2 linked regions of the Drosophila melanogaster genome follow. The protein of the gene in region 1 interacts with the protein of each later gene in a pairwise test. Each region holds a gene or a part of one and is shown on either strand. Other genes may lie near its edges.

Region 1 (3,755 bases):
TCCCATGTTTCGAACAATTGTATCGAATATAGTTCCACCCTCTGACACTGGTAAGAAATAATGAGGAATGCACTTTGTTGCCACTTAAATGTTTTTGTAATCACCGCAGGTAAGCTGTTTGCCATCGGCAACATCCTACAATCGTTCGCGCCCTTTGGTAAGTCCCCTTGAAATTCCCTGAATACCTGCCCCCCATCCATCATATTTCACTTCCAGTCGCCGCCCCTCTTTACACGGCCATCTATAAGGAATCCCTGGCCAGCAATCCTGGAGGATTTAATTTCCTCAGCGCCGCCTTCTACGGGCTAGCGTTCATCCTGATTGGGTGAGTATGGCGGCTATCCATTGCCACACTAAATGATTTTGAATAAATTTATTGCAGCTGGGTGATGCGAATTAAATTCAAGCACCAAAAGTTCTACGCCAAGACGCTCAAATAGCCAAGTAAACTGAATTTCCATCAATATTGATTGTGGCAAGTTTGCCAACTTTTCAGAGCTTTGTTTATGCTTAAGTCGAAAACTTTGTGTGGACAGCATTAAATAACTGGCGTTGTGTGAAGCACTTCTCTGTATATAGCTAATTTAATTTGCATACCGCAAAGGAATTATCTGCCAATTGAAATTACATCATGTTGAAGGATTAACCAACGTTCGTTGCCATTTAAACTAATCGAATTCCAAAATGTCATGTTCTCCATGGCCAACAATTTATTACATCAACTGGACATAAGTGACTACTTTGCCATGCATTTCCATCGAAATTGAACCTAATTGCCGTCCATGTGTAATGCTTTGTTGCGGTTATTATTTCTGGTCCAGGGTCCTTGCTGTTTTTGCTGCAGGGACATGGGGCATGCCTTATGCATGAGCTTTTAATAGTGCATAATTTATGGGGCAAAGTTTGCGCAACATATTCGCAAAGTTCAAACATATTCGGAGAATCGTTTGGATTCATTTGGACTCGTTGTGACTTTGGCACGTACCGCATGAATTCGTAATGTCGCCAATGCCAAAAGTTCACAGAACATACAATTCGCAGCAATTTGAATTGTTAAACGCCAGCCCTCGCTGATTAAATATTAAATTTAGGCTCTACTATGCGCACAAAGGTGGGTCGTATGTCACTTGTCTGTTGTGTGTGTGTGTGTGTGTGTGTGGGCGACTCCTGCCCTCGTGGCGGCCACATCCAAGCCCCGGCAATCAGTATCGGGTTAACTTAACCCCGCTCGAGCAGCAGAAATCGGCGAACCGAAACCGAGTCATCAAATCACAGTCTTGTCTGCGGAAAACCATTTGTTGTGCGGCATTTAAGTCGAGGGTGCTCGGAAAACGCTTTAATGCCGCCGCGCGTGCACCATAAACGAATTCGCAGGACATGAACTTTGCACTTGCACTTGAAACCCTCGAACACGCCAACCTAATGGAGATGTCTTTGTTTTTGCCACAGCGTTAACCATCAGGGGAAAACTTTGATGCGGATGCATGTGCTGCCAGCTGTTAACCGTTCCGCATTTCCGCCCGTTTCCACGTCACAAACACTGATGGGAAAGTGTCAAATAAATATGCACAAAGAACGGAAATTTGTACCAGAAAAATCGTTAAAAGCAATCGCAAAGTGGAAGAGATAGAAAAAAAGGTGCATGCATATATTTTATATACTGTTAAACTTTTTTGTACGATTTTCTCCCGATGCGCAAAGTAGTAAAAGACACTGTCTAATTGAACAGCCCGATAAGAAGCATATAAAACTTTAAACAAGGACAACAAAGTGGCGACCACTTCCGGTGGCGATGATTGATGGACGTTTTAGTGCCCGAAGTCGCAAGACAGTTGAGGCTCGTCCACACGGCGCATACGTAATCGTTTATTAAACAAAACGAATTATGGGCTGCCAGCGGGCCAAACGACATGCAAGTGTTGACGAAGGTCAAGTTTAGCCTTTGCCAAGCGTTGGTTTTCCCAACAACAGACGTCAAAAGAGCAAAAGAGCAGTGGGAAAACGTAAGTCCTTACGTTATCACGTAGACGGAGAGAGCTCTCGTGGTAACACGGAAATTTTCGCTCTCATTTTCCTTCGTGCGGTATAAAATCCGAGAGCGCAAACGAAGTCGATTTAGTTTGATGAAGACTTCCACACGATACGGTCGCCAGTTTTTCCGGGCTTTTCCGTCGCGTCCTCGCCTCATTTTCCGTAGCCCGCTTATCAGCGCAAGAACGCGTCGCGTGAAAATGCCGTCGGTGAAAAGGCAGTTGGCATAATTCGTTGCCTACTTCAGGGCGCTGCAGCATATCAACTGGATTTTTCCGACAGCCCATTAATCAGGATACCGCACTCCTGCACTGCTGCACACCTGCAACCATGTTTTGGATTTTACGGCGCACCGGTGCCGCCAACTTCTTCAACTCCTTCAACAACAACTGCAGCTTTTCCAAGAGCAACTCAAACGGCGGTAATCACAACAACAGCACACAAGGTTAGTTCCCACACCTGGGCAATCAATTAGTCCAGTTGGCTGCAAAAGTCGGGCGGACTCAATTAGGATAATTTATCAATAATTAGCGAACTAATCGGGTTAAGTCGCAAACTTGTGCGTAAATCAACCATAAATAGTAGTGCAGTACTGATATCAAGTTGGTGAGTTTACTGGTTGGTAAACGTGGAAAGGAGCCTAAGGATCTGTTGAGTATCTTTAGTATATCCTATAGATATCTACTAATTTGTAATTTGAAATATTTCAAACGAGAATTCTATATATATATTACTTTGCACTCTGGTTGCCTGAAACGTAACTCCAAACACTTAAAATTGATTGACTTGCAATTGTCAGCTCGCTTCATTCCTGTAATCAATTAAATAACAACATGACTTCCATGAAAATTAAGCAGATCATAGACTAAGCCACTAAATCTTGATAGAAAAGATTATTGCTGTCGACTAAAACCAACTGGATCAAAATGGCAATCTTGGCTTCTCACATTTTCCAAACAGGAATTTCAACAAGTCAATTTCCCTTCAACTTCATAGGTGCATTTCACCGTTTTCTTGATTTGCCATGCCAGACATGTATCAATTCAGGCCTGCGTTTCATTCATAAGCCAAACACTCGCTCGTTATCTAAACAAGTTAATTAAAATTCCCGAAATGACTTGGTGAGTATAGGGCCCGAATAAATGTATATTCTACTTGCCTGCACACTCCTATTGTTTGCCTTTATCTGTGCCGTATGGAAAAGTGGGAAAACATTTTGGAAAGGGGGTGTGGGGTAGCAACTGGGGGAAACGAGGCAAAGTAAATAACATCCAGATCCTACAACCCACGCAATAATGAGGACCTGCACGTGTGAGCGACGAAGAAAACGTGGTGCGGATGTGACTGTCGAAAAGAAAACACTTTGGGCTTTCGGCCCCAAGATGCTTTTGTCTAAGCGCTAAGTCTCGCACCCTCCAAGAAAATTGCTGGGGGAAAATAAAGGATGGTTCGGGGGGGGATTTCGCTGATGGCTGGTAATTGAAATTTTTAGTTGCCTTTGTTGATTCTGACGCGCAAATTTAAAGTTGGTGTACTTTTATTTTAAGCATCGATCAATAAAATATTGTATTGGGTGCTCAGACCTGAATCACATGAATATATAACAACCCAAATGGCAATAATAAGCGACTATAAATAAATTGCGGCTTTATTCTGATTCTCAATCCGGTTGTTATTATAAAATAATTAGCGTATGTTCACGAAGCAAATTAAAAGTCAGCATG
Region 2 (3,755 bases), on another chromosome or scaffold:
AGTAGGCTACACCATACCTTATGATGTCATCCACAGTACCCGGTTTCCATAGCTTGGCTAGCTCAAATTCCGAGTAAATCAGAGCTATCAATGACACAACTAGCGATGCATTCTTCTCATTTCCGGAGATCGGTTGGTGAATGCCACCTGTGGCCGCAGTTTTTACAGCAAAGTTCTCATTGACTGGCGCCCAGAGTTTGTGATACTCCTCGTTTTCCGCCGAATTAATTGGTGGCTCCTTAAGTTTTCCATACTGAGTCAGCGATATCTCAAAAATATTGAATTCATCCTGCGGCTGCAGATCGCTAAACTTGGTGATCAAATGGACCAAGTGCTCCGTATAGCGAGTGGCCATCAGTGAGCACTTTCCCTCCTCGAAATTCCGTTCGCAGTTTTCATCACGTCCATTGGGATCGAAGATATAGTACGAGTTTAAGCAGCGCTTCCAGATCAGCAGGAAGAGATCCCGGGACGTAAAGATGCAGGCATTGTATTTGGAGAAGAATAGGGAAAGTGCTTTGTACATATTTGGTTCGTTTTTCAAAAGTCCCGAGAAGTGTATCTTAATCTCAACGGCGGCGTCTCGTTCCGCAACCTGTTGGATTATATCGAAATCATTCACGTCTGACTTGTAGTTTAGGTCGGCGCTCTTTTTGGTCAATTTCACTCCGCGCTTTAGAATCCCATCCATTGTAGATCCCGTCCAGAAATCGGGATTCAAACGAAAGGTCTCTACGAAAGCGACTATAATGGCACCGATTTCACTAGGCCGATAATAGTACCTGGATTTAATGTAAGGAGGAGTTATATATTTTATTGGAGGGTATTAGTAACTAAGCATTACTAGCAAAGAAATCAGATTACTCACTGCAAACGGTTGGGCTCCTTCTTTGGTTCAGGATAGATGTTCCGATTCCCAAACACAATCTCAGCAGTAAACGTCTTTTCCAGCTGTTGTGGTATATTATAGAGCGTAAGTTCGCCGTCGTTTTCTGTGAAATTTTGAAAAGCCTAGATTAGGAATGCAAATCTCTTGGAAAAAAGATAGTTCTATTCGCTAACTACACACCATATTTCGGCAGGGAGGCGGATATGAACTCCTGATCCATATGCTCCTCTCTCTTCTGGTAGCCCACATTCCAGGTCCACAAATCCTGTGGACTGCAGCCCTCAATGATATCGAAGGTCTTGAGGTTTTCTCCTTCTAAGCCTTCTTGCAGGATTCGCGGATTGTAAGATGAAAAGGGGAGCTCCTCCAAGGGTCCAACTTCAGTTTCGTTTAGGTATATGCGACTCTTGGGACGCTTTAGCTCCAACTGCGCAGGTTGTATAAATATATCATTTCTTTTTTTTAAGATTATATTAATATTCAATGAGGTCGGTAAATTAAATTTATAATTGCAACCGATATACATGAATAAAATAAAAATAAGCTAAAATACATTACAACCATATCCAAATAATTTCTGTATGTGTGGTCAACAAATGGCGCACTTAGTGTAACCCAAATTGCGTAAGGATATGTCCAGCCAATTGAAATATTCAGTGAATTCATAGTCTTGGCTGGCGATGGATTGGGTAACATATGGCCAGTTATCAACGCTTGGCTCTGTGCAAGCTCTGTGCTTTCACTCGGCGACTCGGTTTTCCTGGCCATGGCCATAAGCTTTTAATGCGGCTGAAAATAGCACGCATACGCCACCGATGCCCGACGCCCCGTTGGTCTTTGCCTTGGTCTTGGTCTGGGTATGGCATTTCAGTATTGTGTTGTATGGCAAGGTATGGTATGGATGGTATTTACGGGAGGCCTGTTTTTTCTCCTCCGCTGTTTTTTGCGCTCATCAAGAAGTTAGTTAGCGGCATAAGGTAAGCACGAAATGCCAACTAGACTGACTATAACGACCTGATGTCGCCGCGCTATATGTGGTATACGATGGCATGCGCTATATATGTATGGGTTCGCAGTGCGTCTGTGTTGGTGAGTGTGCCTCTATGGCTGGCTGGCCACGATGACGGGCACCAAACAACAGAGGCGTCCCATGCACAGAGCAGTAAACAACGAACAGCGCTTAGTGCCACATCACGGAATCTTATCGCTCTCGTTCGTTCGGTCGTCCAAAAGCCAAAAACCCAACCAGACCAAAAACCGACTAGCCCGAGACCAAAAACCCGGACCCCGAGCAAATACGAAGCTGCCTCGGCTGCAGAACAAACAAGTCATCTAGTAAGTAGCGTGCTGCAGCAAAAACAGAAACAACAGGCATCCAAATCGACGACCAGGTGAACCAGGTGAGCGCCGCAGTATCGCACTGTTATAGCATACGACCACGTCAATACCAATACTAACACCAATACCAAGGCGCACTTGCCAACAGTACAAGTCGGTTCCAATTCCAACAACGCAACCCTCTTTCCATGGGCGAGCTAGCTGGCAAAATGTCAAACTAGGCGGGGTTACGATGGGGCTCGGTGTGTTCCGCGTACGGGGACTTCAGACACATGATCATTCGCAAGGCAGGTGTGGTGGGATGTCCACTTAATTATATTTTATTTTAAGAACAATACTTTGAGAAGACAAATGCTTATTTTATTCATGTAGTGGGATCCAAAGGACATGTTTTTTTGAGTTATCATATACCTTATGCAAACGAATATTCTTAATATATAATTAAATGTCAGTGAAATACAAGAAAATGACCATAAGTTATTAATTTCATCCAGAGACCTAATTCAAAGAAAGACTAGGAACTGCTGAAGTATTCCACTTTAAGGCAGCCCTTTCATCAATGATGCTGAGGCTGCAAGAGCAAACTTCGAGATGGCTTAAAACTCAACTTAAGTTTGGTATTTGCGAGGTGCAGCCGCCCAGCGAAATTGAGATACACATGCATATGGGGATGGACAGCCAAGTGTTTTGTAAGCAGCGGTCTGGCACCTCGAAAAACAGAGCTTGTCTGCATATACAGAGAAAACTTCAAAAGAGTAAACTTCATTTAATAGTTTTATTTCAAGGACCTTTTTAATAGCTAGTATATAGCTAACAAAAATAATGCTGAACAGAATTGATGTTCTTTTAGTGCCTAAAACATACAATAACTATACCTTTTTAGACAGTTAGTTTAAATGAACGAATAATAGGGAATTTCTCTGTTGTCTAACAACGATCTGGACCGATAAGAAGCTAGCTATGAACGCCCCAAAGACTTTAGAGCGAGCTTATATCACTTCGGCCACCAAACGAATCGTTGGAAGAGTAAAAGTAGACAGGCTCTTATCTGTGACGCAAAGGTAATTAGCCAAGATAGAGCGAGGTTTTTGCGGCGGGCAATCCGACGAGGAATCGGACTTTAATCGGTAACCCAGCATATAGCCTTGCCACCCCCTCCTGTCATCGCCACGCTCCTGCTCCTTCCACCGACAACAAAAATTGATACATAACAAACAACAAACGCGGCGAAACGCAAACGCATATGACACAAGAGCGAAGCGACTGCAACCGCACTGCTTTTGCATACCATGCCCACTGCCGATGCAATAGACCAACAACGCACATAACAGCGGGCAAATAGAGAGTTTCACTTTTTAGGTGCAGACATGTATTTATACATGTATACATATGTACATATATACTAGATACATAAGATCAGCAAATTAACAATTAACGCCTTAAAAGTAGTCGATGTTACCAGGGTTCCCAAAGTATTTGGGGTATTTGCAGGATAAGGACTGTAATTGAATATTTGAAAGCCTTAATA

The links. The genes of interacting proteins can lie anywhere in the genome.
Region 2: the proteins of CG11317 (region 1) and ebd2 interact in a two-hybrid assay, tested with the Drosophila melanogaster proteins (one large-scale study listed by BioGRID).

The regions. Positions count from the first base shown.
Region 1 is NT_033777.3:31,095,676-31,099,430, reverse strand, and holds the start of CG11317 (uncharacterized protein), read left to right. Parts: upstream 1-2,109; 5' UTR 2,110-2,361; coding exon 2,362-2,476; intron 2,477-3,755. Other genes in the region: CG15553 (uncharacterized protein), read left to right, coding at 1-50, 110-157, 217-325, 383-440.
Region 2 is NT_037436.4:21,347,576-21,351,330, reverse strand, and holds the start of ebd2 (earthbound 2), read left to right. Parts: upstream 1-2,042; 5' UTR 2,043-2,289; intron 2,290-3,755. Other genes in the region: CG32436 (uncharacterized protein), read right to left, coding at 1-782, 869-992, 1,070-1,316.